2 linked regions of the Diceros bicornis minor genome follow. The protein of the gene in region 2 binds, or shares a complex with, the protein of the main gene of each other region. Links are inferred from orthologs where the notes say so. Each region holds a gene or a part of one and is shown on either strand. Other genes may lie near its edges.

The links.
Region 1: the proteins of MMP2 (region 2) and TIMP2 are in contact, whole or in part, in a crystal structure (PDB 1GXD), measured with the Homo sapiens proteins. The link is inferred for Diceros bicornis minor from reciprocal best matches to the Homo sapiens genes MMP2 and TIMP2. Residues at the interface, in NP_004521.1 of Homo sapiens: Trp574, Lys576, Asn577, Lys579, Tyr581, Phe588, Arg590, Lys595, Asp599, Phe602, Lys604, Ile606, Ala607, Asp608, Ala609, Trp610, Asn611, Ala612, Asp615, Tyr636, Leu638, Leu645, Lys646, Ser647, Val648, Lys649, Phe650, Gly651, Ser652; in NP_003246.1 of Homo sapiens: Ile162, Pro163, Cys164, Tyr165, Ile166, Pro169, Leu173, Met175, Val178, Thr179, Phe191, Arg196, Asp198, Ser200, Cys201, Ala202, Trp203, Tyr204, Arg205, Ala208, Lys211, Gln212, Glu213, Phe214, Leu215, Asp216, Glu218.

The regions. Positions count from the first base shown.
Region 1 is NC_080757.1:58,675,739-58,690,310, forward strand, and holds the start of TIMP2 (metalloproteinase inhibitor 2), read right to left. Parts: upstream 6,189-14,572; 5' UTR 5,893-6,188; coding exon 5,763-5,892; intron 1-5,762. UniProt on the Homo sapiens protein: Complexes with metalloproteinases (such as collagenases) and irreversibly inactivates them by binding to their catalytic zinc cofactor. Known to act on MMP-1, MMP-2, MMP-3, MMP-7, MMP-8, MMP-9, MMP-10, MMP-13, MMP-14, MMP-15, MMP-16 and MMP-19.
Region 2 is NC_080771.1:8,398,377-8,413,118, reverse strand, and holds the start of MMP2 (72 kDa type IV collagenase), read right to left. Parts: upstream 7,255-14,742; 5' UTR 6,955-7,254; coding exon 6,799-6,954; intron 4,209-6,798; coding exon 3,982-4,208; intron 3,063-3,981; coding exon 2,914-3,062; intron 1,811-2,913; coding exon 1,682-1,810; intron 1,453-1,681; coding exon 1,279-1,452; intron 1-1,278.

The sequences.
Region 1 (14,572 bases), on a different chromosome or scaffold from region 2:
CCCTTCCTTATAAGGACTACATCTCGATTGGCGTTTTAGAGCCAACACTTGCCCAGTCCGTCCTTCTGGGGTGTCCAGAAACTTAACCTAGGATGCTACTGGGACATAGCTGACCCAGGGAGCAGCTCAATTTGTGACCCACAAAATGGGACTCCCCTGGGTCTCGGTCATTTTTCCATTGGAGCTGCTTATCCACACAGGGATTCCAGCCAGCCCAGACCTCAGGGGTCCAGCGGGGTGGGCCCTGAGGGGTCCCAGGTCTGGACTGAGGGAGCCAGCTTCATCCACCTGCCCCGAGACACTGGCCCTCCTGACCAGTCCTCAGTCTGGACGTCTCCCTCCCCCCCCCCCCGCCCCTTTGCTGCCTCTCCTCCTGGCATTCTGGGGCATCTTCTCTACCCCTCCGCCCCGACACCCTGTGGTCCCTGCAGTCTCCACTTCTTGTTCAGACCCTCTAGCAACAAAACAGAACCTTGGCCAAGCACTCTCAACACCTCTCTGTTCATTTAAAATTATGTACAAGTGCAGCTGTCAATCTGTGTACTAAATATCTGTAACATTCTCTACTTGAACCAAAATTGTCTTGGGGACCCCACTTTGGAGACAACGGCTCTGTGAAAACTTTGGCGGGTGTCAGAAGCACCTGCACAGTCTTAGAAATACCAATACCCACGCCCCAGGGCCCCAAGGCTCCAACTCAGGACGCCAGTTCAGGCGTCTGCCTTGCAGCAAATGCCCGGGGCGATGCCTGCTGTCATCCACAGGTGCACATCCTCAATGGCTTGCCTTGGGTCCTCCGCATGGAATGCAGACTCCACGTGATAAGCCAGAGTGGCAACATTTGGTCCCCTCTCCCTCTCAGATGCCCCTGCCCCTAAGCCCCCTGCTCTATACCCAGAACTCTCTCTCACCTTTGCCCAGGCAGTTGGATCCTTTGCTTAGCACACTCGTGCACGCCCTCACCCGCCACCACTAATGATGCACTTAACAATGCCTGGGGAAAATGTCACCTCGCCCTGTCCTCCAATTCAGGATTCTTCACGCTCCTCAACCTTGATTTCCTAACTCTGCTTTCTCTTTCCAGAAAGACCATCCTAACGACAGGACCACCTGCCCTTGGTCCTTTGTTTGTTAGCGTGTACACATTGTGGGGTGGAGGGAGTGTCCGGGGCAGGTGCTCCTATCAGATCAGTGGCTCTGCATCAGGACTAGGGTGGCTGTGTGCCCCCCTCCCTGCCCCATAAGCCTGGGAGCCGTCTGTACCCCTGTTCTCCATGCCCTCACACGTCACCAAAGGATTTGGACTGCAGAGCCCGTACCAGTGGGATCTTCCTGGCAACCCAGCTGAGACGGTGGAGAGGAGAGGCAGGACCCAAGCCTGCTTGCAGCTTGTGGGCCACTGGCCAGGACTGCACACTCCAGAGGACCGAGCAGGTCCCAGGCTGCAGGCCAGCACCGTGTCCTAAGATCCCAGAGGAGGAGGAACGCACCGTGTCCGGTGAGCTCCCTTCCATCCACCTGCCATACCCACAGAGCAGCCTCCGTGCCCTTCACACATCTCTTCCCGTCTCCCAAGGCAGGTTCAGTCACTCCCCTGGAGAACATATCCTTCCAGGGACACTGTCCAAAACAAGCCCAGGAACTCCAGTCCCCTTGCCCACCCCCCAACCTCCATCAGAACTCTCTATCTTCAGATGCTGCAAATGCATTTCACCTTGCCACACAGTGACTTAATTATGTGCCCAAAGCACGTCGAGTCTGACCGACGTTATAACACGCCCTGGCGGTCGGGGTGGGGTCTGCAGGGCTTCTGCACACCCTGACCCACAGGTTTAGACCTACTTCCACACTGCCTAGCACTGGTGTCTAGCGCACCCCTCCTGGGGATAGGATGACGCCTTGCTTCTCCCTTACCCACCCAAGGGGGAGCCAGCCACTCCATAACTGCCTCTTGAAACATAGACAAACCCAATATGAAAACCAGGATGTAACCCAAACCAATTATGCACTCTGCAGGAGTCACCAATAGTTCCTTTGAAGGGCACCACCCCCACCCTGGCCCCCATGCACCTAAGGCCTGATTCAATTTATAGGAATCTCATTTGCCTTGTCTCCCCTGAGCACACATGTCTGGTGAAGACAGAGCCATTTCTAAGGGCCTGCTGCATGTTTTCTGGGGTGGCCACTATCTGGGTCCCACCACTGGGTGCACAAGGCCGGCCCATTCACCCTGCCAATCAGCACGTGGCCTTGGCTGTGGGCCCGTCTCCACCTGGTGATCAGTCCATCAGAGGGTCTGCAGAAAGCAGTGTCTGGAGATGGGAAAGACAGCATCACGGGAGTGCTTCTGGAGTCATATGGCTTTGGGCACTGCCCCCCAGGCCGGAGGGGAGAGTTTCTTCTCTGAATCCAGAGGGTTCCTGGGTTTACCCGTGACTCCAGAAACCTGCCCAGCAGCCCTGGTCTGCCAAGACGCTCAGTGGCTGAGTCCAGGCTCCCGGCACCACGGCACTGCCTGAAGAGCATGGCCAGAGCTGGCGCCCAGCAGATTACTGGGGCTGCGCAGGCTTGCAGGAGATGGCGCAGGGCTCCATTAGGCAAGATGAGAGGAGGTGAGGCCAGCAGCACAACGGAGGGGTGCTGAGACATGAGATGCTCCCCGCTTGTCCTCACTTTCCTGGAAAGAACGGGGAGCGGGGCTTCGGGAAGAGCCCAGATCCCCTCTTGCCCACCGTCCCCTTCATCCTAAATCTCCTAACCACGTGACCAACTCTTTCTGCCGACCACAGTTCCAACTCTACCAGCTGCAAGAGCTGGGGAGATGCCTCCCCGAAATCCTCACACTGGCACACAGAAATCTGCTTCTTAAGCCAACTGCCTCTTGCAGGCACCAAGCCATTTAACAAGCCTGCATCCAGTCAGCAGTTAAAGGAGCCAGCACACCACATTAAAGGTCAGCCTTTAGTAACTCCCAATGTGCACCAGGCCAGCACTCTTCCCCTGACCCCTGGGTCATGGCCCTGGTGCACAAAATCACCTGTGGGGCTTTTAAAACTACAAAACTCGAGGCCTGAGTCAGATTCCCGGTGTCTGTAAAGGGACCCAGACCGGAGTGACCTTTAAAAGACCCCAAGCAGATCTGCTTTAGGCCAGAGTGGAGGATTGCTGTCAAGGAAGTCAGCAACCTGCACCACGTAAAGGAGAAGCAACGGGAAAGGGCCACTGCTTTCGCTGGGAGGTTTACTCCAGGGCCACCCGGGGCCCACCCTGAAATGTCTCGGCTCTGGATCCCGAGTTGACCGAGCACAGAAGGGCTAAGTGTGAAATGAGATCAGGCAGCTGGCTTGAATAGCATCCCCCTAAAATTCATGTCCAGCTAGAACCTGTGAATGTCACCTTATTTGGAAAGGGTCTTTGCAGATGTGATCAAATTAAGATGAGGTCATACTGGATTAGGGTGGGCCCTAAATCCAATGACTGGTCTCCTTATAAGAAGAGGGAAATTTGGACACAGACACACACGGAAAAGGCCGTGTGAAGACGAAGCAGAGATGGGAGTGAGGTGTCTACCAGTCAAGGCGCCTGGAGCCGCCAGGAGCTGGGAGAGAGGCCTAGAACAGACTCTCCCTCAGAGCCCCCAGAAGGAACCAACACTGCCTAGCCCTTGATGTGGGGCTCTGGGCCTCCTAAACTGAGAGAGAACCAACTCCTGCTGTTGTAAGCCCCCTAGTCTGTGGTAATCCATCACAGCAGCCCCAGGGAGCTACTGCACTGGGCTCTGCAGTCAACTCCAGCATCAGCAGGCCTGAGGGGGCCTCCAAGCTGGGATGGGGTTAAAAGTTTTGGCTCTCCAATGATTCTGATGCAGAGAATTGGACACAAATGCCAGAAGATCCAGGCAGAGGAGAGAGGAGGTGAGAGGAGGAGAGAGTAACGTGCAAACCTCAAGACATAACTGAAGCTTCTTGAACCTGACCCTTTGCTGCCCTTGATCCAAACCCAAAGCAGAAACAGCCCCAACCTTAGCTGACGCTGCGCAAGCACGGGAGTGGCCAGCTGCATGTTTTCCCCACGCAGCTGAGGAGTATGGGGTGGCCTCGAGGCCCAGCCCCTTCCCACTCAGCTCCTGCAAACCAAGCCTCGGAGTCTTAACGAGCCACGGATTCCTCCCGGGCCTGGGCCTGATTCTGCCCCATGACTCGCTAGTCAGAAGCACAGCTTGTCTCTTAGCAAAGGGGCCTAGACAGGCCCGGACTCCCAGGGGACACCCCTAGGGAAGGCCAATCTGGGCTCCCCCATTGGGAGGAGCCTCTCCTTCCCCCTCAAATCTTGCTGAGCAGCAAAGCCAACGGGAGAACAGTTCTTACCTCCCCCAACTCAGGTTTCGTAGAAAGTACTCTGAAGCACGCACTGCGCTCCAAGCCAGGTGGCCTGAGTCACGGGATGCCCACTGATAGGAGCACCTAAAGACTCCCTGGCTAGGCAGCCAACTAGGGTGTGGCCAGGAGCCGCGGGGGCGGGGGGGGGGGGTATATGTGGGGTGGGGTGTGGGGAGATCAGGAAGGCGTGGCTGACAACAGAAGAAACCCAGAGACCCTGGCTTTGAGTCTGCAAAGGTGAGGGGAGCCCAGCCTCACCACATCTGGCCTGGCAACAGGATGCTCAGCTGGCACAGATGCAGGACCAGAAAATAAACCTGTTGAGAAGTCAGAGGGGGCTGCAGAGGCCCACCTGCTACACATCTGTCCTTTTGGTTAAACTGAACTTGCCCCAGGAAAACCTGGCTGACCATTACCAGGGAGGCAGAGGCCTGCAAGTGTCAGACCTGGATGGAAACCTCCAGGGCCCAGCTGGTTCCTCCCAGTTCTGCTGCGTTCTCCCTGCTTCTGTCTCCTGCCTCTCTGTGAATCAGAACAAACAAGTGGGCTCCTCCCTCCCTCGCTAGCTCCCATCTTTGGGGGACAAGGAGTCCTGAGGGTGACAAGATATTTTCTGGCGATTCCAAGCAGCCACACAACCTCAGGTGCCCCAAAGTCTCCAGTTGCTGTGAATGTCCTGAAAAAGCAGTCACGGGCACCAAATCACTCAAGGACCATCCTCTCTGTCTGGCCCTGGGCACGCTGCCTCCTGGGCAGGGTGTAGAGCAAAGAGCTGGCCCTGCAGCCCTTTCTCAGCTGCCCGTCCAAGCCCAGGAACCTGCCCAGGGGAGAGAAGCTTCCATTGTACCCAGGCTTAATCCAGTGAGCCCCCAAATGGTGCTGGTGGGAGAGGCCCAGGCAGAGAAGCCCTTCCCCACCGAGCCCCAAGTCCAGAGGAGCCCAACTCCCATCTCACCTGTTGAGTTTCTTCCTGGGGCCCCCAGTCTTCCAGCCCACCGAGGCCGTGACCACCCCCCCACCCCGCCCCACGGTATGTCCCCCACTCTCCCCGCCCCCGCCCTGGCATCCCAGGGTCCTCCGCCTGCCAAAACCCAATCCGTTCCCTGGCTCCCTTTTCCGGGGCTGGAGCTGCAGCGGAATTTCGGTGGAATTTTGAGGTTGAGAACATCTCAGCAGAGAAGGAAGGAAAGGGAGAAAAGGAAGGGAAAAAGAAAGTGCGATTTTGGCGTCCACTTGCAGGATTCAAGAAGGCGCCGAGGGCCGGGAGGCGGGCGCTGGGTCCTCTGCAAAATGCGGCGGGCGGGGCGCCTGCGGAACATCAGGGGTCCCGCGCGCCCCGCGGGGGAGATGGGCACCGGGCCGGGGCGCGGTCGCCGTCCTTACCTACATCTGCATTGCAAAACGCCTGTTGCGGGTGCACCGGGGAGCAGCTGCAGGCGTCGGTCGGACGGAGCAGCGTCCCCAGCAGCAGCAGGCCGAGCGCGAGCGGCAGGCTGCGGGCCGCGGCGCCCATGGCGAGCGGGGGGCGCGGGCCGGGGGCGCGGGCTCGGGGCTCGGCCGCCGCCGCCTGGGCTCGGGGCGCTCCCCTCTCGGCGGGCGGGGGCTGCGCGGGGCTCCGCTGCGCTCCGCGGGCGCGCCCTCCGCACCCGGCCCGCACTCGCCGCACAAACTTTCTCGGGTCTCTGTCGCCGGGGCGGCGAGGGGCCAGCGGGGGCCGGGCAGCGGGTTACGCGGCGGAGAAGAAAGCGGGTGAGGGGCGGCGGGGCGAGCTAGCGCGCGCGGCCCGAGACCCGGCTACCTCCACCGCCTTCTATGGATGTGTGCGCTGCGGGCTCGCGCCGGGCCGGCCATTTATTGCGCTGCAAGGATTTGCGGCTCCGCCTCCCGGTGGCGGGCGGCCAATGCAGGCTCCGGGAGCTCCCGGCGCCCCCTCCTCGCGCGCCTCCCGCGCCTCCCCGGCCCTCTCCCAAACCAGGGCTTTTGTTGTGCCGGGCCTGGTACGTCTGGAGCCCGCCGTTGCGCACCTGGCTTCCCACCGCCCGGGGCAGCACCCCACAGCCGCCCAAATCGCGAGAGATGGGGGGCGGGGGCGCTGCGGGGCGGACAGCGCCCAGTGGGCCCTGACTCAGCACTTGGGACTCGCGGCCCACCCCTCCAGGGCACTAGGCGGCGTCCCCCAAACCCCTTCCCCTCCAGCTTGGCACGGGAGGTGTACACTGCCTGATTCCCTTCCACCCCGGGTTCCCTTCGATTCTAGCCAGGGATTGAGCAAAACAGATGTGCGATGTGGAGCAGGGGTCATTCCCTGCCGCCCCCTCCCCATGCCCTCTGTGGGTGGGTGGCCTCCTGAAGCTTACTGAGGATTCCTTTTTCATATGGAGGCCTTAGAATTTTAAGTGCGCTTGGCCAGTCTGGTGGAAGGGGGAGGGGGCGTGGTTACTATGAACAAAACAGGATTTTATCTAAACTGGCCATATTTTTGACCAGTCAACGAGAGCCAGGAGGGTGGGCCCAGGAGCCCAGCAGGCGGTAGGATTGGATGAAGGCCTTTGCTGGGCTCTGTTCACAGTTCCCTCCCTTAGCCCACAAATGTGGGAGCTGAAGGACTTTTCCCAAAACAGTGTGTTCCAGGAAAGGCAGAGGAACTTAGAGGTGTGAACCACATGTGAAGTGTGACCACCGGGGTCGCTGTCTACCTGTCGCTGAGCCTGCCCCCAGCCCTCTGCATGGGCGCTGGTACACAGAGGACCTCACTGCTGCCCGCAGGGCGTTTGTCATCTAGTAGGGAGAAGTAAATGGAGGAAAATGACACAATTAAAGAGTAATTGCCTGCTGCATGGTGTGGTGCTGACTTGAGATACGAAACTGGAAAATACTGAAAGAATGGAAAAACAGTGTCTTTTTGTTTACGTGTGCTTTGAAACAGACAACTTGGAGAAAAGTTAAATAGGCAGAGCAGTTATTTTTAGCACCCTGACAAACCCAAAGTCACTTTTTCAGCTTTTGTGCATATAAAATCGAGTTATGTCGTTTGTGAAATGATGTTTGATGCTAACTTTTTAAAGTACAGTGTATTCGGGAAATTATAACATGTTGGCCACCTGTAGGCTTTTTCTTTCTTCCTTTCTTTTTTATTACAAGTGGAACAAAATGCTGTTGAACTTTACAGAATCTAAAATCAATTTGTCAGTTTATGAGAGAAACAGATAACTTAGGGGCTGTTAGTCTTGTAGGAAAGATATGCAGGGAGTGATCTAGTGTATGTGAGGGTCAGAAATACGTTACAATGGTGGCCAGAAAGGGGAGCTGCACAGGGGTGGAAATAAGGAGCCTGGACTTGCTCCTTCCCTCCCTCCCCTCCTTCCTTCCTCGCCCCCCCCCGCCCCTCCCTCCCTCCCTTCCTTCCTTCCATCCATCAGCAATGCTTACTTGAGCATCTACAGTGGACACTGTCCGAAGAGCAGGACATTCAGAAGTCCATAGGACAGGGCCGGCCCCGTGGCTTAGCGGTTAAGTGCGCGCGCTCCGCTACGGGTGGCCCGGGTTCGGATCCCGGACGCGCACCGACGCACCGCTTCTCCGGCCATGCTGAGGCCGCGTCCCGCATACAGCAACTAGAAGGATGTGCAACTATGACGTACAACTATCTACTGGGGCTTTGGGGGGGAGGAAAAAAAAAAAAAGGAGGAGGACTGGCAATAGATGTTAGCTCAGAGCGGGTCTTCCTCAGCAAAAAGAGGAGGATTAGCAGGGATGTTAGCTCAGGGCTGATCTTCCTCACCAAAAAAAAAAAAAAAAAAAGTCCATAGGACAGCCAAATTCCCCGGGACAGTGAGGGGAAAGCCCCCTGAGCCAGTGAAGGAGGAAAGTGAGGGAAGAGGAGGCAGGGAGAGGGGCTGGGAGGGGATGTGCATTTTATTCTGAGTGCGAAGTCAGAGCCCTTGGAGGGTTTGGAGCAGATGGGCAGAGTGGGCCCCTCTGCAAGCACACAGCTCTGTGGTGGGGTCGATAGGAATGGGGGCAGAGGGCTCCGGCGTGACTGGGAGACTCACAGCCCAGCTGCCTTCATGGCCTCGCCAAGCCCCCGCCTCCACATCGACAAAATGGTGATAAAAAGTCCCTTCCTAGTGCATTGCTGTGAATGGCTGACCTAAGGCTCTAAAATCTGGTGCACGTGGTGGCTGTTGTCACGAGGCATGAGGCGTCAAGCGTTAAATGACTCTCAGAGGGCAGAGCAGGTGAAGGGACAGAGCAGTCCCTGAAACCTCCATGTCTTCCCAGTTCAGTGTCCCCCACCACACCCCGACCTGCCCCAGCCATTACTGCCGCCCAGTGCCCACGGTGGCCTTGGCTCCCGGGAGCCCAGCCTCAGTCCCACTGACCTCTCCTTCCTCTCCATCATCCTCTTCCAGTTAGAATCTTCCCATCTCAAAACCAAGGGACCTGAGACCTCAGATACAGAAGCTACTGAAGATGGGAATAGGTGAGAACCTGGCTACCGGCATCAACAAGATGCTCTTTCTGTGCTCGCTGCTCCACCGCCAAGAGGGCAACACAGCACAGGAGGAATGCAGGGGACCGGCTGCAGGTCTGACCTCTGCCCTGGGAGAGAGGACAGGGTCAGGACACTGCACTCAGGCAGGAGAGGGAACGGGGAAGGAGGCCCCTGGGGCTGGTAGCTCCCTCTGTCACCCCCTCTCCTGACCAGCCTCCTCTGCCTCGATATTGGGCTTAGAGAGGAGCCATGTAGGAGACCCTGGCCCGGGCCCCCGTGTGCGTTCTGACCACAGCCTGCTGGACCTCAGCTTTTATCTGTGGCTCCCAGCAGGACTCAGGGTAGACAGGAGGGGGCAGCACCTACCAGGCCAGTGGGGAGGGGGCTTCCAGGACCCTCAGACCACACTCCCTGGGCCACCACTTCCCACCAGGAACACTCACCTTGCCCCTGCCTCCCCCTCAAAGACTTTCCCATCACAGGACCCAGCAGAGCTGTCGGCCCATCCCAGCATGTGACATGAGTACACCCAGCAAACATGTCCTGGGCTTGGCTTGGCAGAGTAAATGTTGTCCAGGGCCAGGAGGAAGTGCCAATGCCTCCTCACTCCCGCTCCCCTCAGGTAAACAGAGTCAGAATGACCTCACAGGCCTCGGGCAGGAGGCCCTCTGAACCAGGCTCTGTCCACCCAGCACGAGGACGGTCATTGGAAGCGCCTCTTCTTGTAGAGTCAGTCTCCCAGTTTGGAGAAGATCCATTTCCTTCTGAGCCTGGAACATTCTCTCCCTAGAGACAGCTGGAGCGGAGCTGAAGCCCCCACACTCCTTCCAACAGGTTCCGGAGAGCCAGACGCTCTATAATGTATGGGCATTAAAATTGGCCCCACACACTCAGGAAGTGTGCCTGGCAGTCTGGCAAGTTTCTGCAGTTTGTGATGTGTGGCCTTCAGAGAAGAAGGGGCAGCTGGCATCAGGGTCACGACGGGCTCCCCGTCAACTCTGGACATCAGACTCATGGCCCCAGTAGGTGCGTGGTGCCACCCAGCCCAGACATCTCTCCCCAACGTTCCCTGTTTACCACGGGACATCCCGAAGATGACAGGAAGGTGAGTCAAGAATGATTGGGCCGTCTGTGGCACGAACTGGCCCACAGTTCACTGCACAGTCAACATAAGCATCTTCTTGATCAGCAGCGGACACTCTAAAGGACGTTTCGATTTTCGTTTCCTTTCATTAATTCCATGACTTGTCCTCTTCAGCTTGGGCCAGCTTCTCAGCCTCGGCCCTGCTGACCTTTGGGCCAGGCATTCTCTGGCAGGGCCGTCCTGTGCACTGAGGGGTGTTGAGCAACATCCCTGGCCTCCACCTTCTAGATGCCAATAGCACCGCCCCCCCCGGTTGTGACAACCCAACATGTCTCCAGACATTGCCTAATGTCCCCTGGGGGGCAAAACCGCCTTGGTCAATAATCCCTAACCTAGCAAAACTAATAAAAATCTTTGGCCGTGAAGAAAGCAAAATATAGAGATGTAAACAGCAAGGTCCCATTTCTGTCGAGCAAATAATAATGCATATGGGAGAGTCAGTGTATCAAGGTGTGACCAGAGAGCGGGGGGGATGACACACCAGCCGGTCCACACTGGTTCTCAGGGGAGAGAGGGGAGGCAAGGGATATTAGAAAGGTTGTGTTTAAAAACTGTCCATGAGTAAACAGCATGCATAATATTTCATTTATATGAAATTATACATATGCATGGATGTAGACAGATGTATAAACGGTGTTCACTGAAAAGGCAGTGGAGTGTCTCCAGTGGTGGGAGCTTAGGTGACGGGATGGGTGTCATATCCTCTCCTTGTGCAGAGAAAGCAGTTTTCAACCCTAAAATGGACAGCTCCTGGGGCAGAAATACGGATACTTTTCTCTACTGTCTGTACAGCATTATTAGAGCCTGCCAGGGCTGTCAGCTCCTCAAGGCACTTACTTTCAAATGACCCCTCTGTCGTCCAAATGACCCCTCTGTCGTCCACACTACTCTTGGCTCACGTCTTCCACTGGGATTTCTTGTGCTGCGTCTGTGGCTGTATTTTATGCCACCCCATAGGGCATCTTTAAGGAGGTGGGGCTTGGCCCTTCTCCTTCATTCTTCACCTACACCTCTGTCACTCCCTCTTCCTCCCCTCCCAAAGGCAGCCTTGGGCCAGGGCACCCACCTTGCAAACCTGCCTGGGTCTGCACCCCTGCTCCCTGCTATGCAGAGCACAGCCTTCACAGACCGGGCAGCGGTCTCAACACCAACCCTTGTGGCTCTGGTCCAGTCTAGAATCACTTCAGAAAGAAAGGAGGCAGGGACGGTTGCTGTCCTGGGGGTGGCCGGGAAGCTCAGGAGGGCATTGGCTTGAGGAGACTGCCACATCTACAACGTCTGGGATCACGTGCGTGGACTGGAAGCACATAACCCCTTCCTCCAAGGGAGCGGCTCTGGCACAGCAACGATGTCACCCCCTGTGCCTGGACGCCTCTGCAGACCTTGTCCCACATGGACTCTGAAACGGCACTGCCTCTCCTCCTTGTGGCCATGTTTTACCTCTCTGACTCAGAAGGGTCTCCCGTCCTGCCAGGCGGGTTCAAGCAGGGCCCCGTGCCCTCCTTCGAGGAGTGAGGGAGGGTTCTGGGAGCAGCTCCTGCATTAATCTGCACCCCAGGATTCCCAGGAGTCCACACACCTGAGCTCTACCTTCCTCTTCCACTGCCCACTGGCCCACCTGTCTGCCTCCCACGTCTCCCTGCACGGGCTCTCCTGGGTCCTCGCTTAGACTTCGTTCCTGTGAAAAACAAAGGACTGAGAGAGATGGTGAGCGTGGCTCTCCATCAGGCCTGCTGCTCTGCATTTTCTCCTGCCCAGGCTCTTTCCTTTTGGCCCTGGGCATGTGGTCATGTGCTTCCTTTCATGGGCGGGTTAGGGAGCAGGGCCAGCGAGCAGAGATGGGAACCCAGTGCTCCTCCATCCCGGGCTTTCTCCAGGACACAGCCTCAGCTGGCGTTCCAGGACCAGGGGCTGGCCAGGAGCAAGGGGCGGGGACACCTCGGGAACTGGCTGCCCAGCTCAGCAGGGGTTTGTTGAGGCTGAGTTTTCGTGGTTTCAGGTTCCCTCCCTGGAAGCCCAGAGGCGAGGCCCAGGTTTCCCGCCGCAGCGCCGTCCTCCTCTTCCTTTGGTGTCGGGAGTGACGGCCCATGGCCATGATGTCATCGCCTAATCCAAACAGAAGGGGGGCTGGTTTGAGGCGCTGGCTGGCGTCCCATGCTGAGTGCAGCAGTAAATTTCATTTCAAGGCTATGATTAGGACTGTGCCCAAGAATTTCCTCTCTCTCTCCTTCCCTCTCCCCAATCCTATTTTTCTTTCTATGTTGCTGCCTTGTCTTCTTTTTTTCTCCTTCTCCCGCCCCCGACTCTCTTCTCCAGGGATGCTTCAGGTTCTCAGTGAGGTCAGCCCTATGGTCACCAGCACCAAGCTCCTCTGTCCCCAGTCCAGCGTCTTGTCACCTTCAGATTCCAACCTGCCTCCATCCCTCTGTGACCGGCTTTGGAGCATATGGGATAGGTCTCGGCCCCTAGACGTCACCCTGTGGAGTACAGGGTGAGGGTGAGAGACAGAATTCCTAAAGGCCCTCACTCAGCCTTGAAATGCCAGACGACAGAAAGAGCTTGCTTTGGGGTGGCTCTGGTCACCAACAAAGAGATCAGAAGGCCACGGAGCTGTGATAAAGGCCGAGAGAAGCCCGGTTCCTTGGGAAGTGATTCATCAAGTCCTTGCTGCCATTTCCAGCTGGTTTCTGGAGTTTGGGGTCTGGCTCGCTGGCCCTCTGTGTTTGGCACTCTCATCCTCTCCTCAGCTAGGAGAGAGCTGCCCAGCTCCACAGGCAAGAGGGGCTGACAGACAGGGGCTCGCTCTGGTCCCGTGTCTCCCTGGGCTTGCCCAGCCCCTGGGTAGAAGTGGGCTCGTGTGAGCAGTCCTACCCCAAATGCCGCTGCTTCTCTCCTCTTCCCGTGTCACCCTGGCTCTGTGCTGGCATTCCCTCGCCCGGAACAAGGCTGCCAGCTAGTCATTGCTCAGTGCCCCTTCTGTTCAGCTCCTGCTCAGCCTCCCCTCACAGGTGTCACCTGACCCCAGATCCATGTTGCATGGATGCCCACAGGGAAGGCACTGGGGTCTGGGCAGGCAATGTCTCCCAGCACCCAAGCTGCGCTGGGCTTCCTGCAGACGTGGAGGATGCTCTGGGTCCCCCTCGGTGCTCCCCATCAAGTCGGACTGTGGTCTGACTCCTCAGGACGGGTAAGGGGATGCCCCGACGTGGCCTCGTGTCTGGCAAGTAGCCCACAGGCATTCCCTTCTTGGCCCTCCCCGCGCCCCGACCCCCCAGTCCCCACCAGACACAGGTGGCTCTAGCCCTCCTTCCCCATGCAGCCTGGAAGTGGCCTCAGATCCCTCCTCACCCTGCTCCAGAGAGCCAGCCCAGCCAGCCCAGCCAGCTGATGGTGGCAGGTGATTGATTTCCACCCTAGGGCGATGCCCATCTGGGGTTGTGTGGAGAGCGGGTTGCCCTGAGGAGGGGCAGAGATGGAAACTGCCCTTCTGTAGCCCATGACCTGGACTCCTTAGTTTCCTTGTGTTTTCTCTCATGGGTTCCTTGTCTTCATGTCTGTCTCCCCATGACGCCCTACTTCTTAAGGTTATAGCTCATTCATTCATTCAACATGTTTGGGCGCCAGCTGTGTGCCAGGCATGTGCAGAGCTGGGGATGGGGATGGAACTAAAGCAGTCTCTTCCCTCCTCCAGCACAAACCACCCTTTAGTAGAAACACAGACAGAGACGATTGCCAAGCGGGTGTAGGGTGCTAGATGGTGGAGCAAGGCCGTCAGTGAGGTCGGGGTGGTCTGGAGAGGCTGCCTGGGATAAATGAGCCCTGGAGGTTGGTAAGAGTTATCCAGATAAAGCGGGGAGGCATGGTTCTAGATGGGGAAACTGGCCTGCATGAAGATGGAAGATCTGGATGTTCTAGATGGAAGGACTGGCCTGAGTGAAGGCCTAGAGGTAGGAGGACACAGGAGCTCCAAGAGGGTCAGGCGGGCTGAGCACAGAGCTGGGGTGGGGGCAGGGCCTGGGCTGTCAGCATGGCGGATCTGAAGGTGAGTGGTGGGAGACGGAGACAGGCAGCAGCTGTTGGTGGTGACTCACCGCTGAGCAGAATGATTGAAAACACATGTCCCGCCGAGAGGCGCATTTATTACTCAGAGCCGAGGGTTCTTGGATGACATGGGAGTCAACAGGGAGAGGGGTGGGGAGGGAGTATGGTTGGCGGCGGGGCCACGGGGAGGGCTTCCGGGCTCCTTACGTGTGTGTCGGGGCTCACTGCCTGCACCCTGACATCTGTTGCCGGATCACTCCTCAGTTCTGGCCGGGTTCCTACTTGCTGCTTTTAAAAAAACGTTTTATTATGAAAACTTCCAAGCATATTCACAAGGAGAGAGAACAGTATAATGCTCACCTACTTACCAATGCCCAGCCTCGAAAATGATCAGCTCATCCAATTCTGTTTCATCAGAACACCCGCCCCAATGGATTATTTTGAAGCAAATCCCAGACATTGAAGTTCCTGTGTAAATATTGGAAGAACATTTTTTTGGAAGGTTTACCTTCT
Region 2 (14,742 bases):
CCCAAACTCATGAAATTACAGCTGTTTCCACTTCATTATCAAGACATTCTGTTCCAGTCACAGGGGTTGACACAGAACGTTAACGCCACCTGAATCTCTACTGGGAAATGCAATTGTTCAATATTTTTGCTTAAAAATTTCTAACTTATTAATGGTCAGTGGCTTGCACTCTTACTTAATACAAAGTATTACGTGAGCTTCGGTACTAGAAGCGTAAACAAGGACACAATTAACTCGCTATTTGTTTCTTTCCTTCTGACAAGATGGCTGGTGTTCAGTGTTCAGGTGCAGCGGGGTGAGAGAGATTCAGAAACACATAAAATTGCGGCCAGAAGGACAGAGGCATATGTGCATCAAGCAGTCTGTGTGGGATGGGGAAGAAAGGAGTATTTAGAAAAATTTTTGGACTGGCTCCCATTTCCCCCAAATTTTCTGGGCTTTCCATCTCTAAAACCATCAAATATGATGACCTGATCGAGTATGAAGTTATACGTACTGTCTTCTTATGATTTACAAGTATGAAGTGTCAAGGATATATTAAAACAGGATTGAGTGTGTATGTCAATACCCTTACCCCTTTTTAAGAATTTTCCCTTTATATGGCTTCAAAATATCTGAAAATTTTATGTCTCAAGGACTGACAAAAACACACACACAAATACTGAGTTAAGTCTAATGCCTTTGCTAAGACAGACGCAGACAGAGAGACAGACAGAGATCAAAAGAGGCAGATGGAACAGCCCCTATGCCCAGACACAGACACACACACATACATACACACTAGCAGAACCAGGAGTGATGGCTAAAATTCACAGGGTCGGTGTCCCCAAGCCAGGCTGGGTACCAGCCTGGGGGTCAACTCTTGCCTCCCAATTCCACTGCAAGGCTTCCGATGCATCCCCAACCCTCTCCTCACACCGATGAACCCTCAATCCTGGCCAGAGTGTAGAGAGCAGTTCTAGAGAGAACCACTGGGCATTTTAATAGTTCTAAGTTCATTCTAACGCATGTTAGAACAAAATAATTTGCACATCAAACCTGTGACTTCACAAATATTATTGCTAATGGTGAGACCTCAAAAAAATGGAATAGATTTAATGAAAGTATTAAGTAAACGGGCATACAAGTGACAGGACGCAGCAGTGGCTCCAATGGGAAGGGTGGGGCCTGAAGGAAGTTGAGGGCACGCTGGTTGACTGGCAGCGCCAGGCCTGGGGAGCACGGAGGGCAGGGTATGGTGGGAAGCCCGGGGACGTGGAGGCTGAGGTGGACGCTCACCTTCGTGGGGGCAGAAGCCGTATTTGCCGTCCTTGTCGAAGTTGTAGGTGGTGGAACACCAGAGGAAGCCGTCGCTGCGGCCCGTGTCGGTGCAGCTGGTATACTCCTTGCCGTTGAAGAGGAAGGGGAACTTGCAGTACTCCCCGTCGGCGTTCCCGTACTTTACACGGACCACTGGGGGCAACACGGGGGAGGTGAACCCCTCCAGGCCTTTCTTTGGAGACCAGGACTCCGACTCACCCAGGGGCGTGGCCTCCCTCCCTCTCCCATCTCTCTGGTCCCATCAGAGCAGATGGAGGTGCCCGAGGTTGCCAGGGAAGCCACAGGCCTAGTTGCTAGAGGACAGGGAGGCATGCAGAGGACTGGAGAGGAGGCTTGGGGCATGTGGATGGTCCCTTCTTACCTTGCCCTTCTCCCAGGGTCCACAGCTCATCGTCGTCAAAGTGGGAGTCTCCCCCAACACCAGGGCCCGGGGCGAAGGCGTGAGCCAGCAGCCCATCCTTGCCATCAAAGGGGTATCCATCTCCATGCTCTGAAACACACCGGGTCTCAGCTTTCAGCTGCCCCAGCTGGGCCCTGACGCCCAGCCACCCCCTAATCCATGGCTGGGGGCCTTTACCACCAAGCATCTGTCCCCTTCCCTGTCCTGCTGGGGTTATCCAGGACTGGGGACACAGCGAGTCAGTAGAGAGTTGCTGACTTGATTGTTACCATCCTGGGGTCTACACTACTCCCTCAAGTCTACAGGGCCCCAGTATCTCTACCTTCATTGTCTACACTACCACTGATGACACTATACCTACCCACACACGTACACTGCCACACCAGTGTCCTCGCCACTCACCCTCACTGTACCCAGCGTCTACACCTTCTACCCTCACGTCCACACCGCCCTTTTAGCCGTACGACCTACCTTCACGTCATACGATCAGCAATATCCACAAAACTAACCCTCATGCCTACTTTGCCACCCAGGTCCATACCACCCACCTACCTGTCTCCATTGTCTCCTCTGCCCTTTACCCACATCACTACACCATTCACAATGTCTACACTACCTACCTTCATGTCTACACTACTGCCAGTGTTCATACCAACAACCAACATGAGACCCTTGACCCCGGGCTCTATTCCACTTGCTCTCATGTCTACACTGCTCCATTGTTTCTGACCCACTCTCATATCTAGAGTTCCTCAGTGATACCAGCATTATCCAATAGAACTTTCTGTGACGACGGGAATGTTCTTTTGCTGTTTAATTCAATAGCCCGTAGCCTCATGAGGCTACTGAGCGCCTGAAATATGGCTAGTGTGACCAAGCAACTGAATTTTAAATTTTACTTAATTCTAACTAATTTAAATTTGGATAGCCTATGTACCCAGCGGCTACCATGCTGGACGGTGCCGGGAGACCACCTGGTTTCTGGTTTACACTGCCTCCAGAGCATACCCAGTGTCACGTCACCTGCCCCACATCAAGCTGGCTCTCCGCTGTCTGCTTCCATCTACACTACTGCAGCGTCTACATCTCCTACTCTCCTATCTAAGCTGCCTTCAGGACCCCCGTGCCTCTCTGATGGCCAGATCACCCCCTTGTCTCTACATGGACCCCCTGGTGGCCCTTCTTCTGCCTACCCCAGCGGCCGAAGTTGATCATGATGTCAGCCTCTCCGTCATGGATGCGAGAAAACCGTAGTGGGGTCACATCACTCCAGACTTGGAAGGCACGAGCAAAGGCACTATCCACCGTCTCGGGGTCCAGATCAGGCGTGTAGCCAATGATCCTGGAGGAGGTAGAAATGCATGTGAGTGTGTGTGGGTGTGCCACGGAGTGTGAGTGTGCATATGCACGTGTACAAGTGTGTATATGCCACTGTGTGCATGTGAGCATGCACAAATGTGTGCAAGGGTGCATGCATGTGCACAAGTGTGCGAAAGCATGTGAGAGGTGCATGAGTTTGTGCATGAACATGTGAGTATGCACAAATGTGTGCGCATGAGTGTGCATGTATGTGCAGGTATATGTGTGTGCATGTTGAGCAGAGCTCACTGGGAGAAGAGCCGGCCCAGAACGCCTTGATGTCCCGTGGAGTCCTAGACCAGCCCGTATCTTCAGGCCCTGTCTCAAGAGTCTCATCCTTCACGTCTGGCTGGGGGTGGGGAGGGGGACATAGGCAGGGGCATAAACAGCGCATTATGGGAAACAGGGCAGAGACCTCATCTTTGGAATCCCTCATGAGCCATATAGAACACAGCTCTCAACCCTACTAACAACCAATGATAACAACTCTATAATATAATATAAAACCCAATTAGCAACCAACCGTCGAGTTCCCTCTGCCTGCCCCAAAGACCCCATCTAATAACAATAATGACTAGTACTTACTATACTCTTACTATATACTGGACACTGTGAAAGCCCTTTATAGATGCGATCTAGCTTAGTTCCCAACTAACCTATGAGGAAGGTTTTGTTTCAGCCCCATTTTGTAGATTGAAAAGCCAAGGCTCAGAGCCCTGGCAAGTCGCCCAAAGCCCCTCAGCTGGTAAGTGTGAGACTGAAGTCCAGGTCTGTGAGACTCCAGTTCCTAAAAACTTTGTGTGCAAACTCCTTAAGGTACCAAGCCCTCATAAGACACCTCCCGGGGCCCACGGAGACCCAGTGTCCAGAGCCCAGGGTCCCCCACCGCCCCGCCTCAGCACCTGTACGTGATCTGGTTTTTGTCCCACTTGGGCTTGCGGGGGAAGAAGTTGTAGTTGGCCACGTCGGGGTTGCCACAGCGCGGCTTCCGCATGGTCTCGATGGTGCTCTGGTCGAGTTCACCCGTCTGGGGGAGCCCAAAGAACTTCTGCATCTTCTTCAGCGTGTCCTTCAGCACAAACAGGTTGCAACTCTCCTTGGGGCAGCCGTAGAAGGTGTTCAGGTATTGCTGGAAGAGACGAGCACCCGGGGCAAGCAGCCACGTTAGGATGGCACAGTTCTGACCAAAGCAGTCAGGGACCCAAGGGCACTGGGTGGAGCGCTGGGTTCCCAAACCAGCTCTGTCACCCGCTAGCTGAGTGACATAAAAACTGTAGAGAGCACAGCTAGGGTGCTTACTATATGCTCAGGCACTGAAGTCAGCAAGTGTTAACTCATCTAATGCTCACGAAAACTCTATCATGTAGATATGATTACTGTCTCCATCATACGCAGAGCACAGAGAAGTTAAGAAACTTGCCCAAGATCACACAGCTCACAAATATCAGAGCTGGATTTGGACCCAAGCAATCCGGCTCCAGAGCCCTTGCTGGGAACTGTAACTCTCTACCACCCTTCTTCATCTCCATCACCTCTTTTAATCTACTAACGGCTGATGACACACGGATGATTTTCCTCACTTTTCTTATAAGGAGATTCAAGGGCTATGTGCCCGGGCTGCAGCAGCAGTCAGATCTGGGTTCAAATCCCGGATCTGCCATCTCCAAAAAGAAAATGGTCCTCTCCTTCAGGAGCCGCACAGCTGGCTCTGCCTAAACTGAGGCCAAAACCAAACAGACCCCTGCAGAGCGTCAGGGACCAACCAACACATTCATTTGTCCCACAAATGTTTTTTGACACCTATCATGTGCCAAGCCCTGCACTGGCGCTGTGGATAAACCGGTGAACACGACAGATGTTTCTAGCCTCTAGGGTTCAAATCCCCAGGTGGGCAGGCTGACGGACCACACATGAATGCAAAATTAAATACGTGATGGGGACTGTGTCGGAACGGTGAAAGGAGCCAGGAGACCTTACTGCAGAGGCCCTAACCTCGTTTGGGGGGGAAGGTAGGAGAGGGTATAATAACAATAACAATGACATAAATAATAATAATGGCTAACACCGAGTGCTTATCATGTGTCATGGACCCTTCGAAGTGTCTAAGGTGACCGCTCCTTTAACCCTGCGACAGGTAGCATCTTTATCTTCAGTCTGCAGAAGCAGCTGAGACTGAGACGTTGTCACCTGCCCGAGATCACTAGGCCGGCTGGTTAGTGTGCTCTCTGGTTTGAAGCCTGGCCCTCCAAGTCCAGAGCCTTCTTCTCAAGCACCCCCCTGCACTGCCTCTGGAGAACGTGGACTTCCACAATGTGCAGAAGGTGTGGGGACCCAGGCAACTTTGTCAGTGCTCTACTGTCACCCCCAACCAAGGGCCACATCACTAGCCGGCCAGCTCCAGACCCTGGAGAAAAGCGGCGCCCTAAAAATGTAAGGTCTCCCAACCCATTTACCCAGAGAGGGCAGAGGCCTAGATGCTGGAAAGGGGGGGTGTCACATCCTGAGAAGGGGTTCCCAGGGTGACCAGAGGGCCTGGGAGTCCTGTCCTGGGCAGGCTGGGGACCAGGCTGAGGAAAATGGGGGTTTCTAGGGTGGCTGCAGCAATAAGAGGGCAGATGCCTCATGGGCTGGAAGGTACACGCTGGGCGTCCCGAGCCAGAGGTGCTTACAGGGGGAGGCGCAGTGTCCTTCCGCTGCCCCCAGCTCCGCCTGTGCAGCACTGAGGTCGTGGCTCCCCTCGAGCCGCCCCTCGAGCCAGGCGCGCGCTCTCGCAAAACAACCTCTGAGCCGCAGCTCGGAGCCGCGCCAAGAGGGAGGGCTCGCTGGCCGCTCTCCGACCCGCGCCGGCTAGGGCCGCCCCCGCCCCACGCGCCGGGGCCCTCCGGTGCCTGCCCCTCCCTCGCCCGCCCGCCGCTTCTCTCCTTCTCCTTCTGTGCTCCGACCCCTTTGGAGAAGCTCAAGGAAACTCTCCGAGGTCCAACCCTGGAACCTCTTGTCCATTGAGCCAGGCGGAAAAGTTGCACTCTCTGCTTCTCCCCTGCCCCAAATATTTGCCAAAAGGTCCTTCGCGTGGTTTGTCCAAGGCCTCTTTCCAGATGTGTGCCAAAGGTTCCCAGAAGGTTCCAAAGGTTTGCCAAGTCCCGCTTTGCCCAGAGCTCCCATCCTCACGTGTGCGAAAGTTTAACCAAATTGTGTGCCAAAGGACCCTCCTCCCAAAGTCCCACAGGAGTTTAAAAAGATCCTCTACCATTTGCAAAAGAGACCACTTTAGGCCTTTTGCCAAAGGCCTACCAAGACGCTTGCCAAGGGCCTTGTTAGCCAACCCCCAGATGTGTCCAAAAGTTGTTTACAAAGCCGCCCCCCTTGCCAGATCCCCCAGATACTAGACAATGTCCCCGTTATTTACAAAAGGGGTCCTTTCCATCTGTTTGCCAAAGCACCTCCTTCCCCTCCCCCGCTTGTTTCTCGCCTCCCTGCCGTGTCCTGAAAGTTGCCAAGTTGTTATCAAAGGCATTCTCCACTTACCAAAGCTCCCCCACGGGTTGCAAAAGAGATTCCTCCTTCAGCTTGCCAAGGACCCCCCAAGCTGTTTACTGAAGGCCCTCCCCCATGCTGTGTGCCCCACGTAGGCGTGGGGGCAGGGGTGGCGGGGAGACCCCCATCCCTTGCCTCCGAAGTTTGTTTAAACTTGGCTGGTTGAGGCCAGCGTAGCAACTCACCACAGCCAACTCTTTGTCCGTTTTAGGGGCGACATCTCCAGGGAACTTGATGATGGGCGACGGCGCGGCGGCGGCGCGGCCCAACAGGCAGCCCAGGACGCAGAGCGCCCGCAGGGGGCCGGCGAGCGCGCCGCGGGCCACTCGCGCCTCGGTCATTGCGCTCCCGGGCCCCGCGCGTCGCCCGGGGGTCGCTGGCTCGGTGTGTGTGGCCGCGTCGCCGCCTGGCTGGCGCCTGCTCCGCCGCGCAGCCTGCGCTCCGAGGGGCCGCTCGACTCGGTGGCCTCGGCTTTGCCCGGCTCAGCGGCGCATGGTCCGGCCCCCGCGCCCCAGCCCGCGCCGCCGCCGCCCGTTCTCGCCGGCGCTGGCAGTCCCTTTGTATGTTTAAAGCCCCAGATGCGCAGCCTCCAGCCGCCGCCGGAGGGAAGTCTGGATGCAGCGGAAACAAGGGAGGGCAGCCGCCAGATGTGGCCGGCTGGGCTGGGAGGGCGCTGGCAGCGCAGGGAGGGAGGGGGGGCGCACTCGGGTCCGCCCCTCTCCGCCCCACTCCTCCGCTCGCCCTCCTCCTCTTTTCTCCTCTCTCTTCCTCTCTCCGCTTCTTCCCGCCCCCCTCCCCCTGCCAGCGGCTCCAGGCCTCTGCGCGCACCATCAGTGCGCGACCTTTCTACTCCTACCCCCCAATCCGGGCGCCGAGCCTAAGGACCCCCTGCGGGGAAACATCTGGTGCGGCCCTCTAGACGCTTGACGTCCTGAGGTTGGACAGCAGCGGTTCTCGGAGGGGCGCCCGGAGGACAGGACGTCCTGCACTCCCGGGGACAGGGATCAGAGATGGGGAGGAAGGGTCAGAAACAGATGATCAGCTGCACGGATAGATGGTCAGAGACAGAGATTTTAAATGTTTAGAGATGGAGACAGAGACGAGAGAGATGGACAGAAATGGAAAGAGCCAGAGAGATGGAAACAGATAAAGGGGAGAGTTCCACCTTCCTCCCTCCCTTCCTCCCTTCCTTCCTTCTTCCCTTCCTTCCTCCTCTCTTTCCCTCCTTTCTTTCCTCCTTCTGCAAATATTTAAGCATTCTCTTGGCCTCAGACATAGTGCTAGGTGCTAGATACACATTTGGAATGGCCCCTGTCTCTGAGGAACGTCCCCTCCGTCTCTCAGGAAAGAGAATTAATTACACGCTAAACTGTGATGGGGAGCTCCAGCGGCTATGGGGACACCTGACTTCAGCTCCTAAACTAGTAAAGATGGTCAGGGAAGGCTGCTTGGAAGAAGTGGCTTCTGAGCTGAGACCTGAATAGGACTGCTGGGTGGGTAGGGGGTGATGGGAGGGATGTTTTAGGCACAATCTAGGGAACAACATACACAAAGGTCCAAAGATGAAAGACAGCAAGATGCACTGGAGAAGGAAGTTCCCTCTCTCTGCAAAGGGTGGGGGCAGGGTGAGGACATGGGACTGGGGGTCAGCAGAGGAGGAGGTGGGACGGGGGTCAGCAGAGACCAGCCTGGGAGGGGAGGAGCTGGGACCGGGGGTCAGCAGGGATGGATTTGAGGAGCAAAGTCATGGGCTGAAAGGGTCGGCAACAAGCTGCCCGTGAGAGCCGTGGAGGTCGTGGTGGTGAGTCTGGTCTTTATCTAAGAACCCAAGAGCCTCTGCAGCTCGGGCCTCAGTGGGCTTCGGGCAAGTACAGGCTTGTCTGGCAGGCGTGCGCAGCTGACCTGCCAGAGTCCGTCTAGAAGGGGCCCCCTGGGAGGTACTTTGCCGTTCAGGAGGGAGCAGGGCCCATCGGCCTGACCCGGGGAGAGGCCCTGGCTGTTTGCAGGAAGATGACTCTGAGGTCAGTGGGGGAAGGGGGTTGCCTCCTGGCTCAGCCCCATTTGGCTCCTGTCCATGTCCTGTGGATAGCCAGAGAGCCAGGTTGGAGAGCCAAGAGCTGGGAGTGAAAACGGAAAAAGTTGCCTCACTAAAGCATGGTTTGCAAACTCGTGGCCTGTGGGCTGAATCCAGCCTGAATAGCATCTTGAAATTTGGGAAACTTCATGTAAAAATCTGACTTTCTGGTTTTCTTTTGAAAATTCCCCCAAATCTGGCAATACTGAGTGCCAGTTGCCACATGGCAACAATTAGCTGTAGCTGAATAGCAGCTGCCCCCTTTAGATGAGGCGTGTACTTTGGTTTGCCACAGTCCCCACCATTCTCTATTGCCTTGCATGTGACTCACTCAGCTCATTTGTATCACTTGCCCCATTTCAGGTTTAATCTTTTCCCAAAAGTCTTTGTGAGAGATTGGGGCTTAAACAACATAGCTTTGGGGCTCCTCTGGCAGAGGGCAGCTTTGACAGCACCTCTGAACAACCTGTGTAGATTTGGCATTCCAAGGGCGTTGGTGTCCAGTGAAGGTGCTTGGTGCCAATTTAGAGGCACAAGGGACTGGGAGAGCATAGACAGTATCTAGTGGTAGTGGACTTGTTGGTGAGCACATGCGATACACTTCGGGGTCCCTGTATCCCTTTAGCTCTCTCTGCCATGCTAACGTAGCAGGGTGACCCTGGGAGCCCCATGTTGATGTGGGAGAATCATAAAATGAGAGCAACCAGACCCACTGTAGACTTTGTAAATGAAAAACAGACTTTTCCATGGTAAACCACTGAGATCTGGGGAGACGGTCATTACTGCAGCATCTTTTAGGCATCCTAATACAGGTGTAAATGGTCGGCACAGTGGGTAGAATTGTGTCCCCCCAAAAGATACGTGCAAGTCCTAACCTCCAGTACCTGTAAATGTGTCCTCATTTGGAAATAGAGTCTTTGCCGATATAATCAAGATAAGATGGGGTCATAGTGGATCGGGCTGGGCCCTAACCCAGGGAATGGTGTCCTTATAAGAAGACGAAATTTGCACAGAGACACACGGTGAGAACTCCGTGCACCACGGAGGCAGAGATTGGAGACATACAGGGAAGGAACATCAAGGATTGTTGGGAGCTCCTAGAAGCTGGAAAAGGCAAGGAAGGGTTTTCCCTAGAGTCTTCGGAGAGAGCGTGGCCCTGCCGACACCTTGATTTTGGACTTTGAGCCTCCAGAACTGCGAAAGAATAAACTTCGGATATTTTAAACCACCCAGTTTGTGCTACTTTGTTAAGGCAGCTCTGGGAAATGAATACAGGCTACAATTAGGAGATGCCAGAATATGGCATAAATTTCTGTCATTCATTCATTCATTCAGGAAAACTTTAGTGAACACTGTTCCCTGTGCTGTGGCACAGCAGCATCGAGATGAAGTTTGCACTGACGAAGAAGGAAGACGATGAGGCGAGACCCCAAGCATACGAAGGCGGTGTGCTGGGGGAGGTAGTGGCCGTCTGTGGCTTATGCCTTCCAAGCCCCTGTCCTCCTGCCTGTGTAGCTGCCCCTTAATTCTCCTTTGGGGAGCCTCCTCTCCCCAACCCTTGGTCTATGAGGTTCAGTGGCTGTGACCTACCTTCTGGCTCCTGGGTCCATGTGACGCAAGCCTGGCTAAAAAGCAGATCTAGTGCTGCTGGCTAGGTGATGGTTCAGAGATGGGCTGGAGAGTCTGTTGGAGCCAATGAGAATTAATTCTGGGATTTTCGCTGGAGGCATTTGGGGCGCAGCCTACACTTTCAGCTCTAAATGAAGTTGGTGGAGTTGCCCTTAGGGACAGAGGCTTCCTGAGAGGAAGTTACAGTAAAGAGAGCAGAAGTGGTGACACTGAGCTCCTGCTGCCGTCAGCTGAGCTCCTGGATCCAGCCCTACCTGCAGCCGGAGTACCCTGAGCTTTTTAGCTTGTGAGCCAATACATCCCCTCCTCCCAACTTGGTGTTGTGTTTTGCTTACGCCCGTTTGGGTTGAGTTTCTGTCACTTGCAGCCTGAGCATCCTGACTCAGCTGAGAAACCAGGACCAGTCACGGCCTGCCTGAGGTCACGGCCCTCCCTCATTTTGTCTCTGCCTCTTGTCTCGGGGACACCTGAGAAGCACTCCTGGGGGCACACGAGTGTGCCAGCGCTAATAGTCCTAGAGGAGTGAGGCGGGACCTTCTCTGGGGGCAGGGAACCCAGGGACCTTCAGGTTTCCTGCTGGGACCCCAGCCCCGGGCCCACGCTTATGGATTCCAGGCTCAGAGGCTCAGCAGGCCCGGCTACCCTGTGCCTAAAACCCTTTACCAACTTCAACCCACTCTTGGAATAAAGCCCACTTGCTCGCCGCGGCCTGCAGAGCCCCGCAGAGCCCCGCGTGACCTGCCGTGACCTCTCCATAGCAGTGGGGAACCCAGCGGGGAGCAGATGGCTCTCCCGGATGAGGCTAATTCCGAGAGAGCTACTGACAAAGGGATTAAGTCCAAAGCCTGTGGGTGGGGTGTGGGGGGAGCCGGGGCGCAGGGGCTGAGGATTTTGTCCCCGGTGGGGTGGGAGGTGGAGGGCTGTGTGGAGGAGCGGACAGAACTCCTCACTCCCCCTGCGAATGTACTTCCCAGAGGACCTAACCAATACACCTGCTCCTTGGCCTGCAAAGCTTCCCGTCTGTTAGATTGCAGCTCAAATGCCACCTCCTCACTGAAGCCTTCTTTGATTGACCCCAAATGATCTGCCCCCTGTGTTATTTCCTTCCCGCAGATACAATCTTGTTACTTTAATTTCTTGTTTGTTTATTGACACTTGCCATTCCTCCAGAATGTCAGCTGTGGCCCAGTACCTAGAAGGGTTTAGCACATAGTAGGTACTCGATAATTTGTTGAATAAATAGTTGAATAAAATTAGTGATTCTCCCCTAGACGTGGGAAGATGGATGGGCAGGCTCAGTAGCCAGAGGTGGGGATGATAAGGTGGTCCCCAGAGTAGGAGGAAAGGCCAGAATGAGCACTGGAGGGCTCTGACCTGGGTTATCTAGGAGTCATTTTGAATGACTCAAAACTCTGGGGCTTCCTTTGTCTTATAAACGCACAGACTCCATCCTAGGTCTTCCCTTTCTGTCATGTGGAGGTCAGGTGAGAACTGACCACTTTAGACTTTGGAGGGTCTGAGGACAGAGCTGTTAATTTGTAATCAACAGCAGGAGAAACTTAGGGTAGACTTCAAGTGGGACTTCCCAACAGTGACACGAAGGAATGAGACTTTAAAGGCTCCATAAAGTAGGCTGAGACAACTGCCTGGACTAGTTGGGTGGACACAAGGACCTTCAGACAGCTTAAAGATCCTGGCTGGGCTGGGAAGGACAGGTGGGCCAATGGCTTCCTTCCTGGCCGCCCCCACCTTGCCTGTTGGCCCTCCATCCTGTCCCCACCACACCCTGTGGGGCCTCTGAGTCTCTGGTCCCTGCCTCCCCCAGCCTCCACCCCTGCCCACCTGCCCTCTCTCTCCCTGCTGGGCTCTTAGCCTTGGGTTTGCCCACATGGACGGCCTCTGGCTGGGCTGTGGTTTGTGCTTGTCAGCCCCCACTCTCGGTTCTTCTGTCCACAGCACTCTCCCTTCTCCTTGGGAAACCGCACCTCCTCGCTGTGGCCCAGGCCTGGGCCGTAGGAGCATGGAGCTCTCGGGCCCAGGAGCTTCCTGCCGGCTTCTGTCTGGGAGTGGGGGGGTGACACCGGCCGCAGAGTGAGGGGAAAGCAGAAGACACAGATTCGGGGACACTGTTTGGGACCCTGGATCCAGCCTTACCTGAAAGCAGTCTCGTCCTGGATTTCTCAGTTCCATGAGCCCTGTTCTAACAGGCCCTGTTCTAATCCGATGTGGGCAGCATTTCTGTTACTTGTCGCTGAAAGCGTGCTGGGTGGGACCTGTGATATCTGGGAAAGGCCCCACTGAGCTGCTTCGGGCGGCATTCCGAGTCCCCGGGGGACGAGGCTGCGCCAGTCAGCGTCTGTGGCGGCGTGTGTCTGTCTGTCTGCAGGCAGCGACCCCCCCTCCTCCGCTCCTGGGGGCCGAGCCCTCCTCGGGGCACCGCGAGGTGGGAGAGCTGTCAGAGCAGAGACGGGCCCGCGGGCCCCAGAGCAGCGGGAGGAGGCGCCACATCCCGGCCTGCGCGAGCCGCCGGGCAGCGCGGGCCCGGGGGGCGGATGGAAACCCAGCAGCGGGCTCCCTGCCCCGGGAGGCGTTCAGGCCGGCGGGGGCGCAGCAGGGAGGCTGCGGAGAGGACTCCCCCAGAGAAATGGGGTCTGCGGCAGGCGGGGTGGCGTGCGCCCGGGGCCCCGGGGGCCGGAGGACCTGTCCCCCGGCGGGCGTGTGCTGCTGGCCGGCTGGCCGCCCTCCGGGGATGGCCTGCGCGGAGCGCACGGCCTCTCTCGAGCCCACGCCTGGTTGGTGCAGGGCTATAAAGCCTCTGTCCCCGGGCCCCAGATGGACTCCTCTGCGGGGCGCCCCGGGTTTCCAGTTTCCCCCGAGTCCGGATGAGGCCTCTGTCGAGATGCACAGCAGCTGGACCGCAGCCCACCTCCTCCCCCTGCCCCGTCCGCGTCCTCCCCTCCCCTTGCGCGGGTGGTGGTCCCAACAGCAGCCCTTAACAGACCTCCCACTCCCTAATTCCCACCTCAGGCTGGGCGTCCCCGGCAATCCATCCTGCCAGCATCCCCCACAGAGCCGCGGGGTCCTCTGCGGTGAGGCGCTGTCCCCTGGGTGGGCTGGGGTTGGGGACCATGCTTTTCCGGAGGAGGGGGAGCATTTGGGCAGCCCATGCGTTTGTTGTGTTGTGTATGTTGTGTTGTAGGCTGGCCTCCCTGGAGAATGGGAGGCCACCCGCGGTCTGGGGAGAGGGAGGCCCAGACCAGGGGCACAGCCGGAGGTCACGGGGCTTGCCCGAGCTCTTGGGGCACTGATGGTGGACGGCAGACGAGAGGCGGGGGTCGCTGGGAAGGACGAGAAGAGGAAGCACGAGGTTGCTCACTCAAGACTCACCAGCGCGCGGATGGAGCCTGGAGATGGTCCGCGGACGCCGCTCTGCTAATGACGGTCACCCCTGGGAGAGCCTGAGCGCCACTGCGTGTCGGGCGCAGCGCTAACTCATTTTTTTTTTTTTTTTTGTGAGGAAGATGAGCCCTGAGCTAACATCCGTGCTAATCCTCCTCTTTTTGCTGAGGAAGACCGGCTCTGAGCTAACATCTGTTGCCAATCCTCCTCCTTTTTTCCCCCAAAGCCCCAGTAGATAGTTGTATGTCATAGTTGCACGTCCTTCTAGTCGCTGTATGTGGGACGCGGCCTCAGCATGGCCGGAGAAGCAGTGCGTCAGTGCGCACTCGGGATCTGAACCCGGGCCGCCAGTAGCGGAGTGCGCGCACCTAACCGCTAAGCCACCTGCCCCCCCCCCCCCCCCCCCCCCCCCCGCTAGCTCTTTTATGGACGGTGAATTTCCATTGTGTTCCTTTGAAGTAGGTGGTATTGTCAGGATCCCCGTTTTATAGTTGGGAAACTGAGGCACCGAGAGGCAGACCTGGTCAATGTCACGGACCCAGCCTCAGCACCAGGATGCCTCTCGGGGCTCCCTGACCCCTCAGCCCTTGCTCAACCACCACTCTACGCGACTGCCCTGGGGGGATGGGGAAACTGAGGCACAGAGGAGGATTTGCCCGGGCCACACAGTAAGGGGAAGAAAACCAGCACCTCCAGGGGCTCACGTTGAACCAGCCACTGTGGCCGGCACCTTCACACAGGTGGCTACTCAGTCGTCCCCATGAACCTGTGACTAGGCTCTGAGTATGATGGGAAAGGTGAGCCCAGAGAAGTGAAGTGGCTTGACCAAGGACACACAACATGTAAGTGTGGTGCTGAAACGTGAGTTGACTGAGTCTTTCCCCCGCAGCAGCTGCTGCCTCCCCTGCTGCTGGGCCCTCTGTCAGCCAGCTCCCCAGCCCCACTGTCTTCTGCCCCCTTCCAGCACCCCTGCAGACAAACACCCCCCTGCCCCTCGGCTGCCCTTGGCTCACTGGTTTCCCCTTTG